Linked DNA regions of Lonchura striata. The protein of the gene in region 1 binds, or shares a complex with, the protein of each later gene. Links are inferred from orthologs where the notes say so. Each region holds a gene or a part of one and is shown on either strand. Other genes may lie near its edges.

Region 1 (6,949 bases):
AAACCAAAAAGGGAAAACAACTAATACACTTCTCAACCAAAATCAGTTAAGGCTTGGTGATCCAAACACAGAAATCAACATCAGGGTTTTTTTTCAAACTACTTTAGAAGATGATATTTTTCCTTCTCTTCATAGCTGCAGGGAGCCATATAATCAGTCAGTGATCTACTGCACTTGTTTTCCAATGAGGAAGCAGCAGGAAATTGCCCCTCTCCATGCAGATTTTAAATTGCTTTAGGGCACAACCATCTCTTGGGCTGACATACACTAAATGTGACATGCTGGGGCTGAGCCTCATCTGCTCTCAGGTAGTGCAGATGGGAGACAAGGGGGGACCCAAAGCAGGGTCTCTATTCAGAGGCAGTCGAGGATACAGCATGCTGAGGGCTTGAACACTTCGAGCTCTGGCCAAGCACAGAGCACCCCTGCCCTCTGTCCTGCACTGTCCTGCCTTCTTTGCTAGAGAATGGGAGAAAGCCCAGCACCACTCACTCCTGCAGAGTAGGCTGTGTCTGTACAGGCACAGGGGAGATGCTGGCAAAGCTGCTCTCCAGCTACCCCCAGTCACTCACCTACCTTCAGGGGAGGCACGGAGTGCCAAGGAAAAAGACCCTGGGAACCACAAAACAAAACTAACAAACTAACTTGTTTACTTTGTAAAGCTTTGTTCATTCAATAAAAACAATGAAGTGAAACATTTAAAAAGCATATTTCACAGTTCAAATTAATACTAGCGAAAATCAGCATAGAAATACAGTTTTAGAAATATCCATAACCCTCCATTATGAAGTTATTATGACACTTAGTTTTAACCTCAAGATATTTCAGGAATGGATCAAATGGGTAAATCATTGCTAGCTTGATTTCCTGATGCCCTGTAAGCAGTAACACAGAGGTATCCATAGTGATCATGTTTATAGCATATGCAATTGTTACAAAAATAACTAAGCTAAGAGGGAAGCAATGGTATCTTTCACAGATACCATTCCACCACTGACATAAGATCTTCCAGTGGCTCTGGGAAAGTCACTTCACTTCTCTGTCTCAAGTCTGGCCAGACAACTGAAAAAAATAAGCATTCTGTACTTTAAAGGACTCCTACAAAAATCAATGAAGAGCTGTTTGCAAACAAATTACTAGTTAGCAATATCCTTTGCATAAGGAGATTTTTTAAAATATCGAACAATTCCACAGAGAAAATTTTAAGTGCCTTTGTAATCTGACATACTCAGGTGTGGCCATTCATATGGATAGCTAAATGCTTTGCAAGATCAAGTAAATCTTAGACAACTTCACACACAAGTCCCAAATTCTTTGGGAGAACAGGCTGCCTGGCAACAGCTCTCAGAAACTTGCTGACAATTTGAGAGCCACCTGGTACTGGGAAATCAGTCAGAAGACAAAATACAAGCTGTGTTGCAGGTTCCAGAGAATCTAAGTGAACACAACTAACAAGTTTCCAAACTCTGCTGTTTAACAGGACAGCACAGATCACCTAAAATACTTACCCTACCCTAAGAACCCACCAAAAGCCCCGAGTGAGTCCTAATGCTTGACATTGAGCCTTTAATACACTAGCTTAGCAGTTTCTGCTTGCCTCTCCTCATTTTATATTTTGATAAGAACCTCTTGAAAATAAGAAATTTTACCATTTCGTCCTATCACAGGTTAAAATGTTATATATGCAGCTAATTAGCCTGCAAGGTCTCCTCGAATTATGTAAGTATAACTAAGATATTATTTATATTCCACGTCTCTGTTAAAATAGGCTGTGGAAGTATATGCAATACAACAATGAAAACATTACATTCTCTAAGCAATTCAAACCTCCATTTAGACATGGCACACATTGCACAGATTTTATGGCAGAAATAAAAAAAGCTTTACCATTAGTAAAAAATATCTGTAGCTTCCAATATTCTTCTTCAGTCAGAAATTTCAAGTCTTTCTGGCGTTCTTTCAATAAATCTTGTTTATCCAAAATCCATTGTAAGCTAGAGGGATGGAAAATAATTTCAGCAATTCTTTATCAACATCATACCAAGTGTCTCCTATACAAACAGATCAAGGCTCAGGGATAAAGGGCTTGTGGCCTTTAACAAAGCCACAAACAATCTTCCCAAGCAACTGCTAGTCAGGGTTTTCGAAAGACAACTGAAAAAAAAACCCCAACAACAAACAAACAAACAAACAAAAAAAACCCCAAACAACAAAACATGAAATACCAGGGGCTGAGTAATTAGCCTCTACCAGTAGCAAACTGAGCTGGCTGTACAGACTTTAGACTCTGACAGTCATTAACAAGGTTTATGCTGCAGCCATTTCATTATGGGCACCATTCAAACCTTGACGCGCTCAGCACGAGGTGTTTTAGGGCAGAATCACAGAATCAATCAGGTTGGAAAAGACCTCCGAGATCGAGTCCAACCCATGACAGAACACCACCCTGTCAACTACACCACGGGATAGAGTGCCACGTCCAGTCTTTCCTTAAACACCTCCAGGGACGGTGACTCCACCGTCTCCCCGGGCAGCCCGTTCCACTATCAATCACGCTTCCTAACGCCCAGCCCCAGCCGAGGCCCGGCTGCCCAGCGCCGGGAACCCAATCTCCCGCGATCCGCCGCTGGAGCCCGGGGCGGCGCGGGCACTCACCCCGGGACGCGGCCCCTGTCCCGGAGTGCCCCAGCGCTGCCCGAGCGGCGGCGGAGCGGGGCCGCTCCCGCCCCCAGCCCGGCTCCCGCCCGAGTCCCGCGGCGAGCAGGCCCCGCCGCCCGCCCGGCGCTCCCGGGCCTCCCCTCGGCGCCGTGCCCGCCGCCCGGCCCGGCAATGAATGGACAGAGCGCGGCGGCGGCTCGCAGCACCCGTGTCCCGCGCCCCGCGGCCGCGGCACCCACTAGTGAGAGCTCTGCCAGAAGTTGCCGGCCATGGGAAGGAGCGGAGCGGGGAGGAGGCGCCCGGGCCCGCGATGCCCCGGCCCCGCCGCCACAGCGCCGCCGCCCCCGCGCCGGCAGCAGGAAGGAGGAGGCGGCGCCGCCGCCGGCCGGCAACGCGCGGCTCCGGGAACCGTTCCCCCGCGCGCGGGTTCCGCCCGCCCCGCCGGCCCCGCCGCCCCGCTCCTGGCACCGGGACACGGAGCGGGATGGGCCGGGAAGGGGGCCCATCCAAACCCGGGCCAGCCCCCGCCGTGTGCACGGACGCCTTCCGCTGGGACAGGTTGCTTGGCGCACCGTCCGACACGGCCTTCAGCACTGCCAGGGATGGGGCAGCCGCAGCTGCTCTGGGCAACCTGTTCAGTGCCTCACCACCTTCCCATGGAAAGAATTGTATCCCTATATCCATTTCAAACCTCTGTCCGTGCAAAGCTGGCTGCTTCTCTCTCTCTGCTGTAAGCAGCCAGGAAGATCCAAAGCTTACTTGTCTTGTGCTATCTCCACCTCACCTAAATTTCCCTTCTACTTACCTTCACGGCTCAGCTTGCTCCATGCTGGAATTTTCCTCATCGGAGAGAGCCTCTAGAGGTATTTACTTAATAATTCTAAATTTAAACTGCAAACAGGAAGTGCATGGGCCTGCTTTCCTTCCATGCTCTTTCCTGTCGTGGCTCTCAGCTTCTTAGTGGGATCTGAGATGTATCAATGCCATGCACTTGAAAACTTGGGAACGGATAAGTTAAAGGGAAATTTAGGTTCTATTCAGGAACTATGAAGCAGAGAGGGAAGATGCACAGAGTAAATTGGTGTCATGGTTTAGAAATTATATTCTCAAATGTTGAGTTCACACTGAAGCTACTCCAGACCTGCCATGACTTCCCTGTCCTCTTGCCCCCCCCCAGCTGTGGGTGGCTGGAGAGCAGAGCTGGAGGCATAAAAGGTAAAAATCATGGACTGAAAGAAGAACAACTTACTGGAAACAGCAATGAGATAAATTAACAGTAACAGCAACAACACTAATTACAAGAAAACAAAAAGTTGTCGCTCACCCTATGGAAACCCCCATCAATGCCCAGCTGCTCCCTCTGCAGTGCTATCCCAGCCTGCAAGTGAGTCTTTTTCCCGCTCTGTCCTTGGAAAATGACACGAGGTGGAATAGAATAACCTCTAGGTACTGGCCCTGGCCCTCGTGGCTGCAGCAGAAATTAAACCTGTCCTGCCTGGAAGCAGGACAGATGGAGCCAGTGGTGTTTCTAAATGCCTTTGCTGGCAGAATGAGACACTGTTCTGACCCACCAGACAGACTCTAGGTTTGAGACCCTGTTTATACATAGGAATGTGGAGGAGGGAGGTAGAGAAAAAACATTTTGCATACCCTTTAGCTTTCCTTTCTCAGTGCAAGGAGACGTGACTGAAAACACAGGCTGGGTTTGTGGGGATTCTGTGGGGGCTCTCTGACCTGACACCTTTCTCCAAAAAATATCCGGACTTTGCAAGGTATGGGAAAAGGAACTTACTCTGCTGTGTCAATGTCACAAAGAGGTGAACCAAATTGCCAGCAAATGCCCTGGATTACAGCCACCCACAGCACAAGCACCAAGGAATTAGCAGAGAGAGAGACAGAGGCTGCTGTATAACACAGGAGCTTGTCATTGCCTCGCTGAACATACAAGAGCAACTAAAATAACAGCAAACCTCATGCTTCTGGTTATCACATCAAGTGAGCATCTCTTTTTTTTTTCACCATCTTTCTCTACCTGACCCTGGCCTTTTTCTTGCTCTGATTTAGTACCTGTGTTTTGTTCCCTGGGTGGTGATCTGGGCTTCTGCACAGTCAACAGCTGGATGAATATGAGACAGCTGTGTGCCCAGGTGGCCAAGAAGGCCAATGGCATCCTGGCCTACATCAGAAACAGCGTGACCAGCAGGACCAGGGCAGTGATGATCCCCTTGTACTCAGCACTGGAGAGGGTGTGCCCCAAGTACTGTGCCAAGTTCTGGGACCCTGAGGTGCTGCAATTTATCCAAAGAAGAGCAACAGAGCTGGTGAAGGGTCTAGAGCACAGATCTTATGAGGAACAGCTGAGGGAACTGGGGTTGTTTAGCCAGGACAAAAGGAGGCTTAGGGAAGACCTTATCACTCTACAACTTCCCTGAAAGGAGGTTGTAGAAAGGTGATGTCAGTTTCTTCTCCCAGCAACAAGAGATAGAACAAGAAGAAATGGTCTCAAGTTGCACTGGGGAAGTTGTAGATAAACTTTCTTTACCAAAAGGGTTGTCAATTGTTGGAACAGGCTTCTCAGGGAAGTGGTGGACTTACTACCCATCAAGGTGCTTAAAAGATATGGGGATGTGGCACTTGGGGACATGGTTTAATAGTGGACTTGGCAGTGCTGGGTTAACTTGATGATCTGAAAGGTCTTTTCCAATTTCAACAATTCTATGATTTTACACTTCAGTATGGCAGAATATTAGTAGGGACTGGGCAGGATATTTACCATAGCTATGATAAATGCCATTGCTGCACTGCACACTAGGTGTGGGAAACAGCTCTGCTTGCCCTGCATCTGGCACCACAGGGGCTGTCTAATACTGCTGGAATGGGAGTACTTGGCACCACAGATTCATGCCAGATCCACTCCCAGACTGCCTCTTTCCCAGCAGGACAGACCTCACATTGCATGACCCCATTTCACAGCACTGCAGCAGACCACACCAGTACCAGAGCTATGGAGAGGGAAACTCTCCCTGCTCCACAGACCCAAAACCAGAGAGAAACAAAGACTCCTTGGGGTACACATTGCTCTGCAGTGGGACACTCTGCCATGCTGGAGTTCCTCCAGTGCCCTACAAGGGGACACCCTGCTATGCTGGAGATCCTCCCTGCAGAATGGCGCCCAGGGGGCTCCCAGTGCTTGGGGCGGGGGGTCATTGTCAGCCCTGCAGCATCCCTTGAGCAAAAAGGCAAAGGGTCCTCTAGACTGAGCCATGCTGGGAATGCCAATTGCCAGGCCACAAGGCCTGCAGCTGGTGTGGGCCCAAATTGCAGGGGTGCTGATGGCCATGTGTGGATGCCCCTATGACTCCATCTCCCTGGAGGCCCAGCTGGGAGATGCTTCCTTGGGCAGGGGCATGTCAGGGGGAAGACAGGACAGAGCTTTTTCCCCTTGACATTGCTTTTGAACCTTTCCTTTCCAGGAGCTGTGTGGAGGATCGCTTTATTTACCATGTCCTCTGTGTCTGTGTGTCAAAACAAGCAAACAAAGATCTCATGAAACAGATGTTCTGTGCTGCTGTGTGTGCAGATGTCTCCTTGCTCAGCCTCAGACCTGGCTGCTGCTCTGAGGGACATCCAGATATAGGATGAAAAAATCGCAGCCAAGAACCTGCAGGTAAAATTATACTTTGTCATATTTGTGAGATGAAATTATCTGTCAGCTCTTGCTGATCTCTTCCCCCTCTGCCCCCCTAATAAAAACCATCACAAACATATTGAATATACTTAGTAGTCCATTGCTAGATATAAATATATGCAGGATAGTTGGATAAATTTTTTTCCCCATAAAAATGCTTCTTCCAATCCACATCTTATAAATAGGATGATACATGATCAGTTTTTTGTTCATGGGTTCTCCCCCACAATTGGAAATACAATATTTTCTTTATCTCTTTCCCTTGAATGCACACAAAAACAGTATTTGCAGATAGTCTCAGGTTTTTCACATGTTTACATATTCATCTAATAACTGAAAACAGTACATATCTTTTCACAGATCTGACAATAAGCATTCTTGTTTGCCCTCCGCTGTTTAATATCCCCTCAGGAAATGAATGAGTGGTACAAAACCAGATTTACTGACTTTAATCAAGCTTCCACAAAACATGCTGAGAATGTGAGACATTTCAGGGAAGGAACAGGGAAAAGAAGTGTAAGTGGAATTGAAAACCCCTTCCAGCTTATGTTATGTCACTTCTAATGAAAGCCTTTGTTATGATTTCACTAAGTTAGGTAATGT
Region 2 (7,634 bases), on another chromosome or scaffold:
TACTCTTCTAATTGGACAATATTTATTAGATATGCTAGTTTGTTAAACTCATAAAATTGTAGAAATCTGATGCTGGGTGTGACCAAGATCATTGGGACACCTGGAAGCTTCCAATAAAGGCCTGCTTTTTATTTTACTATTTTAACACCGTTGCAAGAGTTTCCTCTTTTGATGTTGGGCAACAGGGAAAAGCAAGGATCTTCAACAGAATCCTGAAGTGACTTTGCTACTGAAGGATGATGAGAGAACTGGTTCTCCCTAAAAAGAAAAATGTTCTCTTGTTTAATAGTTGACTGCAGCTAATCCACAGATTAGAGCAGAATTTGTACTGTCAGCTTCACAAGGGGCAGGTAAATTGTGTTGAGCATTTGTGTAGCAGCTCCTTTTGTAATTTACGACAAGACTCAGATCTGAAACATACACCAAGACAACTTTAGTATAAAAAAAGCAGATTTGTATTAAACGAGTATTATCTACCACTTCTCAACTAAACCTATAGTGCATATTTGAGAGTGTTTCAAGCATCCTTAAAACCATTTCTTTGAAGACTATCAGAATATTTAATACTGCACCAAATTAAGCAACAGAAAATAAAAATCAAAACTGGAATCCAAGTGATGGAATCCAAGCTAATTTATCTTAAAACCATAACATATAGAAAGGATCTGAAATTTTTGTGACATGAAGTTCTTCATTAAGACAGCAAGAAACTGTTGAAGTATCACCTCTAAGGAAAGCATATCCTTACTGGATAACCAGCTCCTCCTTCTGGAGCACCCTGCTTTACCCACACCAGCTGCCACTTTGATCAGACTCTGCTCAGTCATGGAACAAACTGGAATTTGTCTGCAGCAGGCATTCTATCTTCAGCTATTAAAAATGCACTTACAGGAAATTATGCCAGTGTTAATGAGCCCAATTTTGATGTTTAGCAATTACTGCGACTAGCGAAGTTCCCAAATTTAACCTCCTCTGTTTAAAACAAACGTGATGCCACTGCCATGTCTCTTCTCTTTGGCTTATTCAGTGTCAATCTTCTGTAAAACACTTTTAAACAGTTACAAACTACCAATGCAAGTTTAAAACTTTTAGGTGGTCTTAAAGGTGATCATCAGGTTTGTCAGAGAAACAGCACTCAGCATCCTTTATGCATTCCAAAGAGAAAACACTTGATGTAAATCCAGCCATTAAGAGTCACAAAGAAAAATAATAAAAAAAAAAGGATGGTTTTAACAGGTAAAATCTACGAAAAAATAGGGAAAAAAAACCCAAAACAAGTTTGATTGGCTCAAAGGAAGAATCCTTGTTATCGAAAAGTGATGGAGTTATTTTGTGACAGAGCTGAAGAACCTAAAGGACACCCCGCAAGCTCTTTAACCAGAAACAATGTGGCAGAACAAAAGACTTCTGTAGCATTAGTTCTGCAGCTACAGAATGAAATGTGAGAAAATATGAAATATAACCCAAGGGGAAAAAACGAATAAAACAATGCACAGAGCATCAGTACTGTTATATCTGTTCTGTTAACATCTGAAAAAAAAGGTGAGCAGTTTCCAGTGCAGTGGTGGTGTGAAAAACCATCTTTTTTTTTACATTTTAACAGAAAACTAAGTCTAAAATATTGTCATTGATTATAACCTTATTTGGAACTAGATGCAAGGTCACTATTTCCACTAAGCCTACAAAGCACGCTTAGGCTGCCCTTGTAAAAAATTCAGGTTTGTACTAAAATCATTTTTCAATGGTGACATGGCTTAGAGATGAAAAAACGTGTTAAAAAAGAAAAAAAAAGAAGGAAGTTTGCCTTCAGGAGCATCCTGATGTCAGAATTATGAAAACTCCTACCTGCAAAGCTGCTGTGGATTCTTCACTGGGCAGGGAATCTATGAGAACATCGATATCCTTGGCGGTGCGAGCGATCAGAGCTGCGAACAGCTGGGCGTACTCTGCACAAAACACAGCACAACTCAGCCAATCACTCGGGGAATTTTTAGAAACAAGCACAACTCTGCTGCCACACTGTTGATAGTAAAAGGGTTTTAAAATCATGGGGATTTAGGGTTAAAAAGAAAATTAATTTTAGTAGGCCCTGAAAAAAATAAGTACCCTAGGTACATGAAGGTCTTGTACCTTGCTAGAACTGCACCTGTGTAGCTAGTACGTGATAAATTATATAGTTGTTAGATGTGATGATTGTTTAGTAATTAAATATAATTACTGTTTAATCGTAAGAATAATCATGAGAAACTGTAGTCAGGGGCATAACAAAGATCACGAGAAACTCATGGTTGAATAAAGTCAATATAAGTTTAATAATTAATATGTAAGTTATATAAGGATAGAATATAAAAGACGTGTAGCTCGAAAGCCATGTCGGAGTCAGATTTGAGTCTGTACCGCTGATTCCCAGGGCTCTCAATAAAAGCACCTGCAGATAACCATCCCCCGTGATGATGCGTGTTCCTGAACGCCAACACTGCTACGCAGAAAGCGCAGCCGACACCACCCCGAGGTATCCCCAGCCCTCCCGCAGCTGCGGGGGAGCTGTTCGCCGAGGGGCTTTGCACTCCCGAAGCGCGCAGGCGACGCGGGCAGCCGCACTCACCCTCCGTGGGGTTGACGCCCTGGTCCTTGTTGATGGCCGTCTGGATGTTGCTGAAGGAGGCCGGCGGGCCGCACTGCTGCAGCACTCCGATGGCGTTGCAGAACTGGTCCGCGAGCTGCCGGCACCAATTAACGCGGTTAATTGGCTCCTCGCCCTGCCCCGCCGCTGCGGCCGCCCCGCCTCACCGCGCGGCACCCCGGCCACGCGCAGGCCGCGCACCCCACACCCGCCGCCGTGCCCCCGCCCGGGGCGGGGAGCCGCATCCCCGCAGAGCCCGCGGCGTTCCCCGCGGCCCCGGGAGCGCGGAGGCGGCGGCCCCGCCGTACCGAGTTGACGGCGTCCTGCAGCTGGGTCAGCCGGTCCGCCATGGCCGCGCCGCCGCCGCCGCCCCTGAGGCGCGGGGCGCGCGCGCCGCCTGGCGGCCGGGAGGAACGGGCGGCCGGCGCCCCTCGGGGCGTCCGGGGGAAGGCGGGGCTTGGCGCCCGGCGCCGCCCGGCACGGCTGCGCCCGCTGACCGCAGAGGTCTTTTCAAAGCTACGCCATTCGGGTACTGCCACGGCTTCTGCTGTGCGGCAGCCGCTCTGAGCCCAGCTGAAGGCTGCAGCAGCGCTCGGGTGCTCCGCTCCAGCCCCGATGTGAGCAGGGAACAGCCAGAGTGTAATGCTCCCAACGAGCCAAATCAGAGCCAGCACCCGGCCCCCGAGCCCGGGGGTTGGAGAATAAATGCCATTCGTGCCAGTCGGTTTGTGCCCATCTTTCTTACCTCTGACAGCTGGGTACAATGCCAGCCTTCTCCTTAGAGAGCATCTCTTCCTAAAGGGACACTTTCCACTATCCCAGGTTGTTCCCAGCCCCATCCAACCTGCCCTTGGACACTGCCAGGCATGGGACAGTCATAGCTTCCCTGTGCTACTCTCATAGGGAAGAATACCTTCTAATATCCAGTCTAGACCTCATTTTGAAGCCATTTCTCTTACCCTGTCACAACACGCCTTTGGAAATAACCACTCTGTAGCCTTGTCACTGATGCTGCGGGTGCAGCAACGACACAAACAATCCGCCCAAAGTGTTTTCCCGACGGCACGGATGGGTGACGATCTGGGCTCTGCTCACGCTCTGAAGTCAAACCCCAAACCCCACACTGCCGATCCAAACCCCACCGCGCACTTTCAGGATTTTTAGCCACCGCGGCCAAACGCCTCCCCTCCGCCCGCCCCGGCCGGGCCGGAGCGGCCCCGCCTGCCGCCCGCCCCCGGCGCCCGCCCCGCCCCGCCCCGCGCCGCGCCGCGCCGCGCCCGGCCTGTCCCGGCCTCAGCCGCTCTGCGCGCTCCCTCCGCAGCGCCATGTGGGGCTGGGCTCGCCCGGCGCTGCTCCTGCTGCTCGCGGGGGTCCTGCGGCACGGCGGAGCCTCAGGTGAGGGCGGCGGAGCGGGGCGGAGGAGCGCGGCTCGGGCCGGGGGCTGCGGGGCCGTGCCCGGTCGCGGCCGGCGGCGCGGGCTCGCTGCCGCCGCGGAGCCTTCGGGGCTGTCCCCGCCGCCACCTGCCCTCCGCAGGAGCGCGGGGCAGAGCTCCCCGCGGCGCTGCAGAAGCGCCGTGTGTGTTCCTGCTTGTCTGCATCTTTCATGCGGACAAGGAGAGCCACCCTCTTTTTTTATCCCCTTTCCCTCCCTATCCGCTTTTTTTTTTTTTTTTTTTAAACGTCTTAATTGCCGTAAATGCCATAATTGTAACTGTTTCATGGATAATTCAGAATGATTTTGGCCGCGGGGGTGCGGAGCAGGTGATGCGGATGGTGTAGGGCTGTATTCCTCGCACAGAAACGAGGTGGCATTGGCCACTCGTGAACGTGAGTTGACATAGCTAAAAGGCGATTTGGGTTGGTTTGCTTGCCTTTATCCCCCGACCATGTGCAGGTGTTCATGGGTTCTCACCACCCTAGTGGATGGTGGGTTGAAAACCACTATTGCTATAAAACTAGGGAAAGGGGTAAAACCTAGAATTTGGAATTTGCAGCTTGGTTCCTAAACTTACTTTCTGTCCGTACTGATGTAATCTGACTTTATTTGGCATGGGCTTTTTTTGTAATTTCCCTGTGTTCCTGCATGTGACTAAAATAGGAGTCCAGAGTTAAGTGTGCTATAATAAGTATAGTTCAGGAAGATTTACAGTCACTTCTTTTTTTTTTTTTCTTTTTCTGGTTAAACTCTTATCTGTTCAAATAAAGGAAAAAATAAACAGTTTCCTCTCAGAGATAATTCAAAGATAAGCAAGCAGTCCTTCTTATCAGGGCTGATATAAGCCTCCTCCTTTTAGTTGCTTTAGTTTTGTACTGCTTCTAACCATGGACTCATAGAATGGTTTGGGACCTCATCTCGTTTCAACCCCCCTGCCATGAGCAGGTTCACTTTCCACTAGACCAGGTTGCTCAACGCCCCACCCAACCTGGCCTTGAATGAATGAAGCTTAATTGTCCAAAGGAGACTCTTTGGATACTTTGCAGGGCTGCAGGACAGCATTTGGAATCAGTCTCAGGTGTGGAAGGCTTCTCTCTGCCCAAGTCTCATGCCCAAGATCCTAATGGAGAGCCAAATATTCCCTGTTTCTTGCAGGACCTAAAAGCTTTGGCTGGGCACCTGATGGTCACAAGCAGGTGTGAGAATAAAAGCTCTGCTTTCTTAGACCTTAATGTCCTTAAGATAACTTAAAGGATGCTAACAAGCAGTTTGTCTCCTAGACTTGATGAAATTGGGTCATGTGTTGAGTAATTTTTCTACATTATGTAAAAAGGCAAAGCAACTATGAGACTAAGCAAACTGCTTTGCCTTGGAGGAACCTGTTGCTGTTTTTCCTTGCACGAATGAGGGTGGAGGGGAGGAAAGTATTTCCCTTGTGAAAAGCTAATAAGCTGTGTAATTTGTGTACCAGAGTCTAGCTGATCATTAGGGCCTTTAAAAAAGGCCACTTGCTTAATGGTTCACTGATTTGAAATTGTCTTGTGGTTATTCAGTTGTGGGCACCCACTTTTCAGGGATGGGCTCTGCTAACTCCTATTTCTTGAAGCTCCTGCTTCATTTTAAAAGTGCTGATCAGTAAAATCTTTGCATGATGGCCTGTGTAACCTCTCTGGGCTTCTGATGGGCTGCGGCCCCTCAAACTTAGTCTTTGTGCAGAAGTGTTTTCTGCACTGATTGTTGCCTTCCAGGGAGTTCTGTCTTCCTGAGGAGGAGTTCAGCTGGCCGTGTTTGCTACATCCAAAGTGGGCTGTTTAGTTTTGGAAAAACTAAAGTGAATTTATAGTGTAATCAGGACTGAGGGGTGCTTTTGTAAAGGGAGCTTATCTGGGTGAAACTTGTTTAGTCTATGCAGAGATGATACTTTACAATAAGATGTTCACACAAATCTCTTCCCTCACTTTTCAGGCGGTAAAACACCTCTAGCCTGGTGAACAGAATAGTCCTCTGGGATGGGAATGGTGCAGATGGTGGCAAGTCACATTCTGTGGTGTCATCTGCTTTAAGTATCAAGCTGTTCTAAACATGAGTTTCAGTACACACACAATCAAAGTTTAGAAGCTTTCAGAAATGTTTCTGCTTCTTTTGGGAATAGGGTAGGTGCTGTATTTTTTTTGGGGGGGAGGGGGGCTCAGTAGTGTGGGAAGACAGACCCTGTAGCCAGACTCTCCCATTATCTGTGTCTGCATGGCCTTACAGGTCTGATAGGATATGGCTCCAGGCTTTATTCTGTTAAGTAACTGTATGCTAATGTTTTTCTTACTCAAACTGGTTGTCAGTCTGAGCTTGCATTTCATCTTCATTAAATGTCTTCATGTGACTACTTGTACTCCCTGCACTGGAAAGTTCTCCTTGGCTCCTGGAGCTTGCTTACATCAGGTTATTCTGCATATCCACTGCAAGGTGCTTGACACCCAGTAGAAATGTGTTTTCTCTGACTGCACAGAACCTCTTTGAGAGAAGGATAATGTTTGAGCATGGCTGTATGGGCAGCAGGGGCATTTCTTCAGTTGTTTTTCTTACTGGAAATTGGACTGCTGGTTGTAATCAAGAACCCTGTGTGGTTAACTGCTCTGTGGTGGTAGGGAGTGACACTTGGCTATTGGAGCTGGAAATGTGGTTTTCTCAAAGCATCAGAGGAGCCAAGAGCTTGGCACTGAATCAGCACAATGGAAACAGTTGAAGCTGGGTGTAGCCTGTTGGAGAAAGCGTGTCACAGGGAAGGGATAACAAGTGCAGAGGCTCTGGAGTTGTTTGTCTTGTTGTTTAGAGTTAGGAATAAGGACTTTTGATCTCAGAAGAGTTCCAGGAGGTTCTGTTTCTTGTCTTTACCGGTTTTGCCCTTCATGTGGGAGAAGAGATACTGTGGGATGACAGAGTGGGCTGTTTGCTGTGTTCACCAGTTCTGTGTGCAGGGCTATCTGTGCTACAGCCCTGGTGCTGTTTATGGAGTAATACATGCTCAGTGCTCCCTCTCCACTCTGCTGCTGCTTGGTTTCAGCAATGCTGACTTCCTTTCAGCATCTGTTCATTTGATAAGCTCTGTAGCAGTTTGGGTTCCTCTCATGTATCTAACCCAAAATTACTCTGATGTGTAGTGACTGTTACAGTCCTTCCTATAGGGCAAGGAAGAGAGCATAGCCTGACACCTTTAGAGCGTGTCCAGGCCTTCACCATTGGAAGCAATAAAACAAGTTGGGATGCCTGGATTTTGCTCCCATCTTTGTTGCTGACTTGCTGAATCAACTCTCTCACTTGTGAGGTGGAGTTAACTGTGCTGCTGGTCCTGCAGACCTGTCTGGTGGGCCACCTCTGGGCAGGTCAAGCTTGCCCAAAGGAGAAGATTGCATGCTGTGACCAGCACTATGTGGTTGTTGAGGTCTCTGTGCCTTTCAAAGGATGTTTGACAAGACTGAGCTCTCTGTGGCTCAGGGAGTCTAATACCTGTCTGGTATTAGAACCAGAGAACTGGTGATAGGAATAGGCCTGGTGAATTGTGAGTTGGTTAATTTAATCAAT
Region 3 (7,638 bases), about 14 Mb from region 1:
TAGTTATTAGCAGTACCCAGTGAAACAAGTAGAAAAATGCATTTACACACAAAACCTTCACAAATAAAACAGTATTACACTTACCCAGGAAAAGCTTCTTCAATTACTTCTGTTTTCTGTAAGAGAAAAACCCCAAGTGAGCTAATGTTAGAAGGTTTTCTATGACAATCATGGCCACAGGATGAAGCACAAAAGACAAAGTCAATTGTTATGGGTCTGTACCAGAGAATGATAGGTGTCTTCTGCTATTCCAAAGATGAGACTGTTTTGTTTTCACACAGACATATAAAAGTTGTGGATCCAGATGAAGGCTTTGTTTCTTTGTTTTGGGTTGGTTTTTTTTTGGTTTTTGTGTTTTGTTTTTTGTGGTTTTTTGTTTTTTTTTGGTCTTCTAAACATCTAGAGATCAATTCACTTCCCAAAGCTGGAGAAGTTGATTGTCTTATTACAGCTGTCTTCTCATCATTTGAAAAATTAGCATTTTTGAATTCCATTAAGTTTTTGCCCTTCTTATGTTCATGACATTCAGTTACACAAATCAATTAAATACAATTACTTTCCCATCCAAATTTAGATCCACTGCTTTTTAAATTCGACTGAATAATGTAATGGTCTTGTACTAGATAAAAAAACCAAATATGAATATTCAATAAGACCTTCCTTTACCCCCTCCCCCTCTTTTTCAACTTCATTTTGCTCAAAGGCTTCTACATCATTATTCTAGAACTTCAGCAAATAGGTTCTGGAAAATATTATCCTAAAGCCTTTCCTACTTTTTGTAAGAATTTCATATTATACTCAGGTGTGATCTATCACTGATATTATGTGTTTTCATTGTTACATTACAGACACAGAAACATGTAACAAAATCAACTTGCTGGTGTTCCTTTTCCATCATTTGGCTCAGAATTGTCTGCCACTGCTACTCAAGAAGCAAAGGAGAAGCTGACACTCATGTGATCTGCACAGAAAGCAAGGTAAAGTTTGATGCTGACCACCAAGTCCGTACCAGCAGCAGGGAAAGCAGTAAGTTGCTATTTTATCAGTTATGGCTCTAAAAATACAGGGAAATTTTCTCAGGAACTATTTTGTTGTTGTTCCTTATGAATCTTAGACAAATAACAGTACATAAAACCAGGTAGCGTGACAACACAGGCAAATGACAACATTAAAAATGTGAAAATAATCTGAATGGCCAAAATGAGGAATCAGTCACATGTAGGCAATTGATATGCTACAAGCAACTTAACACCACATAAAGAAAAGTACATCATGCATTTTATAATGCCAGCTTAAAACAGAATGGTTAGGCTTTTCTTTCCTCTACTGAAATTCATCACATGGAAATAATTTTCACTTTCTCTGAAATCTACAGATTCTTTCCACTTCAGACATTTGAATCAGCTTATTTTTTGTCTGAAATGTCAGTCAGGCTCCCATTCAGGATCAGCTCCTGTCACCCCAGTGTTTCCAACTGTGAATGTCTCCTATCTACCAAGAAGCTCATTCATTTGTGCTCCACACAAGTGTGATTAATAACCCACTGACCTGGCTTCACAAAGGGAAAGTCCTGTTCAACTAATTTAATATCTTTAACTAATTTAATATCTTTTATAAGGTAATGATAGACAGATATTTGTCCTCTCCACCTAAAGAGGACAAAGAAAAGGCAGTGGAAGTACTTTTTCTGGATAATGCTTTTAATACTACCCCTCATAGCATCCTTCTGGACAAGCTGTTGAACTGTGGGATAAACAGCTTCAGAATGTGCTGGGTGAAGAAGTGGCAGGAGGGCAGAGATCAAAGGGGTGCAGTCAGTGGGGCTGCATCTGGCTGGTGATGGGTCACCAGTGGTGTTCCGCTGGGCTCCTAGAGTTCAGTATATTTATATAATGGTGCAGGAGGTAAATGCAGCAGGAGGTAAATGCACCATTAGCAAACCTCCTGATGATACTAAACTGGCAGGTGCTGTTGACTCTCTTGAGGGATGAGAGGCCTTAAAAAAGGATGTGGATAGACTGGCGCACTGAGCAATCAGTGCCATCAAATTTAGCAAATGCCAGAGTCTGTACCTGGGACAGAGTACAAACAAGTACTCTGGGCACAAGAGTTAACTGCTGGGCACAAGTATAAACTGGGACAGGAGCGGCTGGAGACCAGCCCTGCAGAAATGGATCTGGGAGTGCTGCTCAGCAGCAGCTCAGTGTGAGCCAGCAGGGAGAGCCCAAGCAGCCAGGAGGGCAAATCCCATCCTGGGATGCATCAAACCCATTCAACATTCACACAAAAGAGGTGATTATCCTGCTGCACTCAGCTTTGGTATGGCCACACCTCGAGTTCTGTGAGCAGTTCTGGGGCCTTGAATGCATCCATGGGCAGGCAGCAAAGCTGGGTAGAATGCTGGAAAGAATGTCGTATGGAAAATGGAGGGAGCATTTGGGTTAACTGTGCTTCGTTTTGCAGGCAGCATTGTGCGTGTGCATTCCCACAATCCGATCATGCCATTATGCTGTCTCGCCTACTCGGGACATCCATCTTCTCCTAGGCTCCTGCAGAACTCTTTAGACTGCTTATTTTACAGCAAATTCAGCGCTCTGTGATTCGGTACTGGCTACGCAAGCTGTTTTACGGCCGGTCCTCTGTCCCAGCCTTCCTACAAAGCCCAAGGCCCCGCCGCCGCCGGGAGCAGCAAACACGGCCGGGGTCGGCGGCGGGGCTGCACCGCACCGACAGCGCCAGGAAAACCAAAAGCACCTCTCCCACCTGGCTTTTCATCTCCTTCGGTGCTCCCCACCCCAGAGGGAGCACTGCGGGCCGCGGGGACCCGGAGGCGGCCCCGGCAGCGGCGGCGCTCCGGGGACGGACTCACCACCACCTCCTCGAAGATGCTCTGCAGCTGCGTCTCCATGGGCACCATGGGGATCGCCATGGGGCCGGCGGGCCCCGGGCCGTGGTCCGGCGCCGCCGCTCCTCCCGCCGCTCCTCCCGCCGGAAGCTGCGCCCCGATCCCGCTCCCCGGGAAGCCGCTGCTCGGCCCCGCCGTTCCGGGCAACGTGGGGAAAGCGACGGCGTCTTAAGTCTTGGTTTTGTTTTTCTTTTTGCAAAAATATTCGCTTAGGCTTCTTTGGTTTTTGTATAATATTTTATTTGAATAATTTTTTTTTGGGGGGGGAATATTTAGGCGAAATGCTGCTCTGGTTCTTACGGCAAGGAGCCGCATTAGGGTGTAAGGATCTCATTATTATGAGATCTCTCTCTGCAGGACTGATCTCCAGCCGCTTCTCTCCCTGTTTCTACTTGAGCCCAGTTTGGTGTAATTACTGTGAATCATAGAACAATCTGAAAATGCGTTTATCTAAAGACATCCAGGAGAACAGAATCAGAGCACTGCAGGATGGGTCGGGTTGGAAGGAATCGCAGTGGATCATCGGCTCCATCCTCCCTGCTGAAGCAGGGTCATCCCAGAGCACGTGGCACAAAACTGTATCCGGGTAGTTCTTGACAGCCTCTCCGGTCAATCTATTCTGGTGCTTGATCACCTGCACAGTGAAGTTCTTCCTCATGTTCTGCAGGATGTGCATCAGTTTCTGCCAGTTGTCTCTTGTCCTGTTGCTTGGCACCACTGAGAAGAGCCTAACTCCATCCCGGCATCTTCCTTTCGCATACTGATAGACACTGATGAGTTCCCCTCCCAGTTATCTCGAAGCTGAAGAGGCTCCCTCAGCTTCTCGTCATAAGAGCAGTGCTCCAGTCCCCCAGTCATCCTCTTAGGCCTCCACTGGAGCCACTCCAGCAGCTCCATGTTGCTCTCGGCAGAGCTGGACACAGTAAAATGCAATAGTATTACATTTAAAAATGAGTACAAGAGTATTACATTAGAATCTTGGGATCATTAAGTTGTGAAAAGACCTCTAAGAATGTCAAATTCGACTGCCAAGCCGATCTCCAAATCATGTCCCCAAGGGCTACATCTACACATTTTTTCAACACTTCCAGGGATGGTGATTCCACCACTTCCCCGAGCAGTCTGTTCAAATGCCTAAATACCCTTTCAGTGATGAATTTTTTCCCAATATCCAATCTAACCTCCCCTGTTGCTATTTGAGGCCATTTCCTTTTGTCCTATAGCTTGCTACCTGGGAGATGTGGCTGACCTACACCTCTGCACAGCCTCCTATCTGATAGAGAGCATTATATTTATATGTGTATATATATGCAGATGTTTTTATACTAGAAAGAAATGTAAAATGCTGAATCAAGACAGTGCTAAAATTTTGTGTGTGTTTGATGCTGACACTTTATTTTCTGAGCTGTCTGTGGATGTTAAGCTGCAAACATGCAGCTGGTACTGGTAAACAGGTACAAACTTACGTCTTGTACAGAAAAATAAAGCTGATCAACTCCCTGTCTGATCAACTATCAAGGTGATAACCAGAGGCCTCAGAGCAGTGAAAAATTAACGTTTTCAGGCTTGGAGCTGAGTGGAAAATAGCAGAGTGGGGGAAACACTCACATGGAATTGGATAGACAATTATTTGTTTTAAATGTAAACAGCTTTTGTGTAAATAGGCCTGGAAGAATACATGACATAAACAATGAGAAATGTTATAAGTAAATTTAAGAAGTACAACAGAGGACAGTGATACGTGTGGCATCCGTGCTTGCACAGCTAGAAGAGATGTGTTTTGTAGACAACAGGCACAGGATGCTTTGAAGTCAGTGCTTTCTTTTCAGCAGTGGTTAGGAAAGAAATAATGCTTACATGTGTATTATTTAACTAAATGTACGTAACAGATGATCATTGAAAACAGAGGGGATGCAATTGAAGGTCTGCTTGTGCTTGCTTGTCTTGCTCTTAGAATTGGGCTGCCCTCGGTCTTAACGTGAAGTTATTTATTCTGTAAGAATTGTTCTTTGTACTCTTCATTGTGTATTTATTTAAAGAGTGTTGCACAACAATCTGAAATGCCCATCAAGACCCAGTGTCAGTATTTGTCCATTCAGGACAGACTACCTTATATATTATTAAAATGACAATGCACAGGGTATAAGTGTCTACTCAAATTTTGTGCCAACCTCCTAATCCATTCTCACAGTGACTCATAAGAGGACTGGAAATTAGTTGCCTAATACAACTTTACCTTGATTTTAAGTCACTAGCCAGCATACATTCCAAATAGAACTTAGCATGTAAGCCTAAATCTAGATGGTAATATTTAGTAGACAGACTTGGTCTAATCCTAGTTAGGGTCCTGGTTTACAACTTGCCCCAAATACTATACCATATTTTGAATTTTAAAACTGAAACCATGTAATGGTCTTGAACCCCCAAAGAGGTTCAAATGGTGATTTCTGTCCTGAATTAACATCTTGTCTAACCAGATCTCATTTTAACAAAACTGAGCTACCTATGATCCTACCTTTGTGTAGAAAAGTAGTAGAAAGAAGGCTCTTGGTCAGGCGCAAAGAGTATGACACATTATGTAGATGGTTATGATTAGATTTATTGCTAATACAGTGTCTAAATATTGCCAAAGCAATATTTAGTATACATTATAATATATTAGTATACAATATAAACATGTAATAATATATAAATGCACTATAACCGGCTTATATTATAACCAGCTGGAAATATACAGATTTACAGTCTTTGGCCTTACAGAATTCACAATGGCAAAGCACCTGTGGAGATGCTTTAGGATTTTATCTCTTTACCTGACTGGGTTTTGGTGCTTTTATTCACCTGCCCAAAAGTGAGTGTTCCTCATCTTTAGGCTGAATGTACCCTGCAGGCATCCCTTCCAGGACAGGGGGATCTGCCTGGAAGCTGCCTGCTGCCTGGGAGACCAGTCTGCCCAGTTGGCCCAGTCTCCAGCAGTAGTTTAAACACTTTTGCAGGCTGATGTGTGCCCAAGTCAGTCGAAATCATTACACCTCCCTGTCTCTGAAATTTGTCTTTGTGGAATATCCATACTGTTCCTCCTGGAATGATCACTGTCCGTTCTTATCTTAGCACCATTCTCACTTGGTTTTCTTATTTTAGGACAAATCATATTTCCCATGGGACACAATTGTAAAGGAGAGGGGTGTGTGTATGGGGATGGGCACACTTGAGGACCTGATGAATTTATCTCAGTCAGAGTTTAGCAGAGAATCTCATTGGGATGGAACTGGGAGCAAGGGGTGCTGGGGCAGGTCAGGCCTAAGCAAAGATCTTCCTGCTTTGCCTGAGGGAGCCAAGGATCCAGGGGGAGAAACCGTACTGCCATTAACCCTGGAGCGACTGCACCTGGGTCCATCTGCCAAGGCATGAACCATTATGAGACCCTGCCTGTACTGAGTAACAGAGCCACACATTTTACCAAACAAGGCAGAAGAGGTGAGGATGAAATTACTCTCTTCACCCAGACACAGAAAAAGAAATGCACTTTTCAAAATTATTTGTAAATACTATTACTCTAGCAAAACCACCTTCATCAAAATGACCATTTTAATGACATTTATGAGAAAAATGTTTAAACTTTGAAATGTTTTTTTCCTGAGTGCTATTCATTTTAGAAGACAAATGACAAATGAGTACAAAGATATCTTAGAATGTATGGTGTATAGGGTCTTTCTGGCTCTTCATGGCCCTGGAGGACTTTTAGCTTCTTAGCAGTGAATATTGAAAGTGTCTACAACACAGCGTTATTCAGAAATTATCCTCCCCAGTTTCCTGACATGCTTGTTAACATGTATATGTCAGAGATGTCCTGCCTGCGTTCTTTGAAAACACCTTCTTCTTCCTGAAAGTATCAGATGAACTGAGGACTGCAGTGTAACTATGGGGGAATAGGTTTTTTTATACCCTCACCCTGCATTGGTATTGTGTCAGTCTGTATGCAGAACAGTCACTCAGAGTTATGATTTAGTAATAGAGAGCAGAAAGGATAATTATGTCCTTCTTCCTTATTGGTTTTTTTAGTCTTATGTATTGATCATATGGATTGTTTGATTTTTTTAATGTGAATTTTCTTTTGGTAGGGATGAAAATAAGTATTTTTAACATATGAGGCTGTTGATCTTGAAACAGAAAAGTTTGGGTTCTTGATTAATAGTTATCAAGTTTAATAATTGAATTTTATTGGTGAAAAATGTTCTAGAATATTGTAAATCATCATGAAGACAGTATAGTATGTCAAGTTAGAGCAATGATTGGGTAAAAGTAGCAAAATCAGGTATATGGGATCACATTCTGTTCATTTTAGCTGTTGCTGAGCAGTTCTTAAACAGACTGAGAGCCTCCTCTCTGAGTAGTGTGGAATGCACAAGAGGCTGGAGGGGGCACAGCTGGGACATCAGACCCCAGCTGGCCAAACTGATATTCCACACCATATGATGCTGTGCTCAGCGATAAAACTTTGGAGAAAAAAAAAAAAAAAAAAAAAAAAAAAAAAAAAAAAAAAGGCATAGGAAATGGCCAGAATAATAGTGTCTGCCTCTCCAAGTAATCATGACATGTGGTAGAACTCTGCATTCCTGAAAGTGGCTGAACACCTGCCTGCTGATGTGAAGTGGCCATGAAGTGACTTTGCTTTATGTGAGTGGCTTTGCTTTACCTATTAAACTGTCTTTGTCTCAACTCACAGGTTTTCT
Region 4 (7,483 bases), on another chromosome or scaffold:
TGCTGAGAATAGCTGAGACCCCTCCCCCTCCTCCCTCAAAGCTACAGATGATTGAAGCTTGTAAAACAAAACTAGAACTAACTAAACTTTTGCTATGCACAAATGGGAGCACTCCGTGCCTGTGAGCGAAAAATATTGACTGTCCGTCACTTTAATTTGCCAGATGCCTTTAATTCAGATACTTTTTAACAATGATGCAGCAAGTGCAACTTCAAAAGTGAAAAATGTTTCAGTCCCTGCCCTTCCCCTGGGGCCTCCACCTCCACCCCACAGCCTGTGGCAGGACTCGCCAGTCCCTCTGGCCTGCGAGAGCGTCTCTCTCCTCCATTTGCATGGAAGAAGTTACAGGGTAATTTACCATGAGAGAAATATTGCATCAAGCAGGAATGTATACAAAGCTCTGCAAAAACACCATCTGGACTCACCGGTTGAGTTATTTACTTCCGGCAATCTACTTCCTGTTTCAGGACCAGCAGTTTAGCATTGAAACATACAAATTTCTGCTAGAATATGAGATTCCAAGCACTTCAGATATGCAACTGCAATACATCACCAATAGCCTCTTGGTCATCTGATTCTGGGACTTTTTTTTTCCTTTTTGCCCGAACTCTAATAACTACTGCTAACTAAGGACTAAATAACCTTAGCCAGACCAGCAATGACTTTGACTGCAAGATCAAAAGCAGCATGGCCAGCAGGTCAAGGGAGGTGATCTTTAAATGTCCCCTCCAACCCACACCATACTAGGACTCTATCATTAATTTGCTGATACATATAGCCATGGCTATTAAGCAGCATCTGTCATAGATTTCAAGGAGTTCATGAAAAAAGTGGCTGTTTATTCAGCTTCATGGCCAGTTTTCATGGTAAAAAATAAGTATTTTTATTCAAGAAATGTAACAAGGGCATATTCACAGCTATTTATAGATTAATTATATGGACATAATCACCTCTCCCACCACCTTCTTCAGAGAGAAAGCACATCCTACCATTTCTCCTATAACATACAGCCAGGCTGTCTTAGTACACATTAACTTTGGGGGAGGTAACCATCCTCACCAGTCCTTCTCAACACTTAATAGTTCTGCTTCCTCAGTGTTCATGTCTCATTACTGGATCCCACAACATTATCTCACCAACTCCTTAGCTGTTCCTTCTGCAGACCTCTGCTGCTTTTCCTCTTGCCACCACACTTCAGCGGGGCCTCAGAGTGCACATCTCCAGGAAGCCAAGAGAGCCCAGTTACCTCTGCACTCCTTACCTGTGGTTTGGGTTCATATTGTTGCTGAAGCATCTCTGCCACTTTGTTTTCAAAGGCACAGAGCTGTGTGTAAACTTGGTGCAGAAAGGCCTCACGCTTCGTCTCATCCAGCTGACAGCCCTGGAATAGTACCTGGCCCAAAGACACACGTGTCAGTCACCAAGTCAATATTTTACAGCACCAGCCCTCAAGATGGTGAACACAGTGCTGCACAGTAAAGGTCAAACACATCCCTGACAAAGCACAGGTACAGCACAGGCCACTTCTCTCTGTTCCTGCTCAAAAATAACTGCGTGTGAGCAGTGGTACCTCATGGCAATTGCCGTGCATCCCACAGCAGACACCTACATGACACTTTAGGAAATCTCCTTCTTGGGCAAGAAACTTCTACTTCATTTGACTTTCTCCAGGATAAACAGTTATTAGGAGAAAGTGATGTGGGATCATTGTTAGAAACCATGAACTGTAGTCTGATGCTTCTACGGAAGGCCTGCTTCTTCTAATCTACCTTACCTATAGACTGATTAAATTATCTTCCAAGGGGAACAGTAAATTGAAATAAAGAAAAGAAGCAATTAGAGTGGACATTACATTAGAGTGGCTTACAGAGGAAGCCTGCCACCACAGCAACTCCCCAGGGTGACAGGCATGACACCTGTGTTTACAGATGCCACCCTGGTACAGGCAATCCCTCAGTCCCTGTCCACAACCAGAGACAAAGAAGATACAACATGCAGACAAAGCCCTCAGCAGATTGGTGGGGTGCTGCATGTTATCCACATTCCTCAGCCTCATATGGGCAAGACCTCACAGTGGCACAGGAGAAATAAATGATTACCACAGAAAGTCTTTCCTGGATAAGTGATACACACAATACACCTTTTCCTCCATAAAAGAATAATTATCCAGCTGTTCCCAGAGATCACAGTTCATGGCCTCATATACAAAGTGGGAATTTAGGGAGGTCCAAAGAAGAAAAATCTAGCAACTTCAGAGTGCTCAATATAGTGTAAATAGGGGAGATACTGAAGCACAGCATGATGGTCTGCAGGCCAAGATGACACATAATACATCAATGGCAAATGGAGAAATTCCTGCTACACTTACTCCAGCAACACCTCAGAACAGATCAAAGTGATGGCCACACTCCTCATGTACAACAGAAACCCTGGCAGAAGGCTTAGGCAGGGAGGGCTGGGGAAGGGGAGAGAGGGAACAAGCATAGACTTATAGGCTCCTCCTGTTACCAAGCACTTCCCCTGGTATTAGCAAAGGGATGAAATACACGACCATAAACACATAAGTTATGTGAAAATACTGTAAGGTAGAAGAGATCAAAGATGAACTTCGAAAATAACACTGGCCCCATAAATCAGACTTGAATTTATTACACAGACCTGTCACGACACAAATAAAATCTCACTGATAAATCTCAATACTGGGGCTGGCTGTTCCCTCCAGCAAGAAGCAGCATATTCAGATCAGTGCAAAAATAAGGTTTGTAGGAAGAGACAACTACTTTTGCATTAACCACTGCTACAGAGTTGGAACAGGGAGACAAGCTTTTGGTCATACAAGCTCTTCTTGAATGCTTCAAGCTAATTAAAACAGGCAAAAATAATTAATCAACAGAAATTAAAGACAAAAACAACTCCCAAACAACAAAACAAGAACAACAATAAGCACACATTCGACATGAGGCAAATATTCCCTGTGGTCCAATTCTAAGATCATGCCTGAGGGCAGCATTCTCCACACAAACCTCTGCTTCCTGCCCAGGAAGGAGAAGTTGCTCACACACACTTCTGCATCATGCCAGGCCACATGTTTTAGTGAGACAAGCCTGCAGCATAACAGGCAGCAGAGCCCAGCTGCCACCTCCCCGCTTTCCTTGTGCTCCCAGGACACCCGCACAGCACAGCGAGCTGCTCACGCCGCGCCAAGGGAGAGCCTGAGCTTTACCTGGTGGGACTGCAGGCCAATGATGGAGGAATACACCTGGATGGTGACAAAGATTTCTGGCTGGTAGATAATGTCTGAACCAGGGATACGAAAGGGTCTTAACAATCCCACCAAGCATCGGGAAAGGGCATGAAACACTTCATCAAAAATTATCTCCCCCGTTGAGTCATCCTACAGAAAGAGAGAAAGGGAACAGCTTTTTCATCTCCTAGGACCCTCAATTTCACTGTTGGGTGTCCCACTGTGCAGAGCCAACAGCAAACATCCTTCTGCAACGGCAGCTGGATTATAGTGACAACTCCTGTGAACAGAAGTCACACATTAAGCATCCAATGGAGAAACAGGATTTGCCATTAAATCCCCATGCAGGGGCACAGTATGGTTCCCTCCCGGGAAAAACAAGACTTCTATAAAAGCTCAGACTGACACCGAGAGCAATAAACCTTTCCTCAGTAAATACAAATGGGTTTCTGTTTTAATGCAGAACACCCCAGAGAGAGGCAGTTTCTGCTCTTACCACAATCCCCGTGGAAGGGCTCAGATCAAGCTCAATCACAAATCGGTACTGACGGGCCAGGAAGGTGACCCGTGTAGAGGGGACCAGGAGGTAGGGCCTGGGCTGGACCGGCTCGTCTGGCTGCCACCCATTGGGCAGGATGCTGAGAACATCGAGCTCGTTTTCTGACTTCACCTGCCAGAACAAGCAAACGGCACATACGAGAACATCAAGCCACACCAAAGGAAGAAGCAAAGAAGAGAAAGGGGCTCAAATGCTCTGCAGGGTGCAGGCGCTGCTGAGCGGCGCAGCACCAGCGGTGACACCATGCAGCCCCGAGCACCAACTCACCAGCTCGGGCTCGGGCACGGCCCGGATGACCTGGTGCAGGCGGCTGAGGACCCAGGCGAGCCGCACGTTGCGGGAGATGCGATAGTCCTTCTTCATCAGGAGGAACACGTGCCCTGCCTCCTCCACCTGCGGCGGGAGCACAGCGGCGCGGGTCAGCCCCGGAGCAGCCCCGGCCAGCGCCCGCGCCGCCGCTCACCCCGGGCTGCTCCGGGCCCGCGCTGCCCACGGCGGCCGCGTCCCCTGCGCGCTCGGCTCGGCTCGGCTCGGCTCGGCTCGGCTCGGCTCGGCTCGGCTCGGCTCCCCAGCCCCGCTCCCGCGGCCCGCACCCACCTCCCCGTCGGGCCGCTCGGCCGCCGCCATGTCGCTGCGGGCCCGCCCCGGAAGCGCGGCTCTCCCGGGACAGCGGGGCGGGGCCGCCGCCGCCATCGCCGCCGCCGCCGCCATGCAGGTGAGGGCCGGGGAGCGGGGCCGGGGAGCGGGGCCGGGCGCTCCGCGGGGCCGCGCCCGCCCGGGGCTGCGGCAGCCCGGCCGGGCGGCCGAGCGCGTCCCGAGCAGCCGCGGCGACGCTGCGCTGTGCCATGTGCCGTGCCCCTTGCTGCCGCTCCGCCGTCGCTCCGCCGTGCCCCTCGCTGCCGCTCCGCCGTGCCCCTCGCTGCCGCTCCGCCGTGCCCCTCGCTGCCCCTCCGCCGTGCCCCTTGCTGCCCCTCGCTGCCGCTCCGCCGTGCCCCTCGCTGCCGCTCCGCCGTGCCCCTCGCTGCCGCGGGCTGTGGGGTGAGAGGGTGCGCGGCTGAGCGCCCCGCTCCCGCTTGGACGGAATGCCGCTGATCGAGGAGAACCTCGTTACTTTATTAAGAGCTGTGAATTTGTAGCATCCTTATTGTCCAAAGAAAAGAGCATTAATGGTAGGTTAGCAGGCTGTAAAGATCCACCTCCTTTGGTTTGCTTGAAAGCGTAGCCCGCTGGCCTCATACAGATCTGCTTGTCCCGCTGGAAAAGAAAGTGAAAACAGATTGTCCCGCTGTTCCTTGTTTATAGGGTTTGTTACATCGGCTCTCCTTGTTTCAGCCACTTCGTCATGCCAGTCTTTTTCACTGGGTTGTTTGTTTGTTTGGGTTTTTTTGGGTTGTGGTGGTTTGTTGTATGTTTTGTTGTTTACTTTTTTAACTATGAATATTCTTCACCATCCTCATTGCTTTTATCATATTCCTACTCTATTCCTTTTCAGTTCGGGGGACAAGAGTGACATGTTATATTCGAGATGCAAAGGAGGTGCACCATTTATATGGTGACATAATGATGCTTAGTTTCCGTAGCTGTCCTAATAACTCCTGTAGTCACTTTTACTTCTTTGACTGCTTTTCCAGGATTGGGATGATGTTTTCATGGGTTACCCTCAGATAACCCTGAAATCTTTTTGAGTTACAACCTTATCAGCTCAGATAATGTCATTGTGTACAGAAAGTCATGGGGTTTTTTTCCCCTTTGTTTAGCCAGTCAGGATTTTTTTTCTCCTTTGTTTTGATGTCTGCATTGTTTTACCTTTACCTACTCTGAATTTCACCTTTCCCTCTCAGTTGCTCAGTATCAGGAGGTCCTTCAGAACCCTTACCATAAGCCCTATCTTTACTACCTCAGGCCAATTTAACATTGCTAACAAACTCCTCAAAGTGTCCTCTTGGAGGGGTCAGTCTTACTGTGTTTATCTTGCACTGCTTGCATCTGCTTCCAGATCCTGATGGCTTTGGGAAGAGCCTAGGGAAGGAGGGTTGGAGTGCTCTGCTGCCATGAGAGTGCTCCTTGTGCAATGGGGTTTATTCATCCTCTTGAAGGCTTCTTGGATAAGCACAGGTGGGGGGCCAGGGGAATTGCTGTGGGTGCATATGCCTGGCACCTCTGCAGTAAAACGCTGGCTACCAGCCCAGCTTGTAATGCAGGCAGTAGTTAACCTCCTTGCACAAACACTGCACACAAACTGTTGCAGGCACATTTCTTAATTGGACAGGAACTGACTAGTCCCGTCACAACATGTGTGTGTGCTTTTATCTCTAGGTGGAACAACCAGCAGCAATCTGTTCCATGAGTCCACTCCTTGGACTGGGGATCAAATTTTACTAAGGTTGATTCAGCTGTTCTAAGGTGGTTAAAGTGAAATGAAGTCCCATCAGTGATTACCAACTTGTCAGAGTACAAATAAAATAGAATAATGTGTTCTCGTGAACATGGAAGGTGCCTGATAATCTCTCCATGAAGCTGACATTGGGCCAGTGTATTTGAACGGAACAATAACAATTCCAATAGCAAGCATGCCAACAGTGTGAGTCACTCTATCTGCTTTCCCAATCGGTATTCCCTTTCTATTATTTGATTGCTTTGTCCCACCCTCCTCTTGGATTATTGTACAGTTCTCTACTTACTCGAGCAGTTCCTTAGGGCTGGAACTTTAATTATGTTTTGCACAATACTGTAGTATGAGTAAGTTAGAGTAGATAAGAGTTTAGAGGGATTTTGCAAGAATCAAGGGCATGCCTTGATGTCTTTGGCAACACATCCCCAGTCTTGACACTTTGTCTGTCACCATCCTCCCTCACCCGGAAGGGGATGTCAGTGGGGAAGATTTCTTAAAACAATGTAATCCCAGCAAAAGGCAGGATTAAAGTGTGTGTGTGGGTACAGTGCCAGTCTGTGTTACGGCAGGGCCTCCCACAGCCCACGGGGCACAAGGCCAGGAGGAGCTGCCAGTTTCCTTGGCAGCTGGAAGTGTCACATGGGCAGAAAGAAAGTAAAGATTGGCAGAAACTTTATTAGTCCAGGGTCCATGGTACTCATTTTGCAAAGACTGTTTTGGATAAAGACATCACAGCACCCACAGCTGCTTTAGAAAAGGCTGAGGGAATGCTAATCTTCTTTGTTCTGGGTTAGCTTAAGTGGTTTACAAAGGTGGCATGAGCTAGTTTTGATGACTTTGCTTGATGTGGTGTAAGTGATGATGTCTTCACTCACCTAAATCTTTAACAGGACAGCTGGCCAAGCGTTCCTCTCAGGCACAAGTCTCTTGCCTAAGTAGTCTGACCCTAGGGAAAGCGGTCAGTGTGAAATAGTAGGATTTTTATCTCCAGTGCCCCTGCTTCCTTTGAAGAGGAGGCTGTCTGTAGGACAGATTGGATCATGGATGCATGGGCGTGAATTCACAACATTTTTGTCCTCCTCCCTTGTCTGTCTTGCCTTTTTTTAGAGAGAGGAGAAGCAGCTGGAACTGACCCTGGAGGCACTCATCAGTCAGGTGGCCGACCTGAAGAATTCCTTGGTCAGTTTTATCTACAAGCTGGAGAATGAGTATGACCGCCTTACATGGTAAAGTGTCTCACTGTTGATCACTGCCCAAGCTCTTCAGACAGGAGATTATCTTCTTGTCA

Evidence for each region.
Region 2: CCNC (region 1) and MED21 share a complex: the UniProt entries of both Homo sapiens proteins name them as parts of the mediator complex. The link is inferred for Lonchura striata from reciprocal best matches to the Homo sapiens genes CCNC and MED21.
Region 3: CCNC (region 1) and MED23 share a complex: the UniProt entries of both Homo sapiens proteins name them as parts of the mediator complex. The link is inferred for Lonchura striata from reciprocal best matches to the Homo sapiens genes CCNC and MED23.
Region 4: CCNC (region 1) and MED8 share a complex: the UniProt entries of both Homo sapiens proteins name them as parts of the mediator complex. The link is inferred for Lonchura striata from reciprocal best matches to the Homo sapiens genes CCNC and MED8.

The regions. Positions count from the first base shown.
Region 1 is NC_134605.1:73,824,995-73,831,943, reverse strand, and holds the start of CCNC (cyclin-C), read right to left. Parts: upstream 3,011-6,949; 5' UTR 2,930-3,010; coding exon 2,898-2,929; intron 1,995-2,897; coding exon 1,888-1,994; intron 1-1,887. UniProt on the Homo sapiens protein: Component of the Mediator complex, a coactivator involved in regulated gene transcription of nearly all RNA polymerase II-dependent genes.
Region 2 is NC_134607.1:1,479,535-1,487,168, reverse strand, and holds the start of MED21 (mediator of RNA polymerase II transcription subunit 21), read right to left. Parts: upstream 3,018-7,634; 5' UTR 2,974-3,017; coding exon 2,932-2,973; intron 2,721-2,931; coding exon 2,606-2,720; intron 1,947-2,605; coding exon 1,846-1,946; intron 1-1,845. Other genes in the region: TM7SF3 (transmembrane 7 superfamily member 3), read left to right, coding at 3,949-4,018. UniProt on the Homo sapiens protein: Component of the Mediator complex, a coactivator involved in the regulated transcription of nearly all RNA polymerase II-dependent genes.
Region 3 is NC_134605.1:59,766,920-59,774,557, reverse strand, and holds the start of MED23 (mediator of RNA polymerase II transcription subunit 23), read right to left. Parts: upstream 3,016-7,638; 5' UTR 2,930-3,015; coding exon 2,870-2,929; intron 117-2,869; coding exon 85-116; intron 1-84. UniProt on the Homo sapiens protein: Required for transcriptional activation subsequent to the assembly of the pre-initiation complex. Component of the Mediator complex, a coactivator involved in the regulated transcription of nearly all RNA polymerase II-dependent genes.
Region 4 is NC_134611.1:15,037,742-15,045,224, forward strand, and holds the start of MED8 (mediator of RNA polymerase II transcription subunit 8), read left to right. Parts: upstream 1-4,476; 5' UTR 4,477-4,512; coding exon 4,513-4,518; intron 4,519-4,860; exon of another isoform or gene 4,861-4,969; coding exon of another isoform or gene 4,970-4,972; intron 4,973-7,302; coding exon 7,303-7,421; intron 7,422-7,483. Other genes in the region: KICSTOR complex protein SZT2, read right to left, coding at 1,262-1,393, 3,224-3,394, 3,741-3,914, 4,071-4,196, 4,401-4,430. UniProt on the Homo sapiens protein: Component of the Mediator complex, a coactivator involved in the regulated transcription of nearly all RNA polymerase II-dependent genes.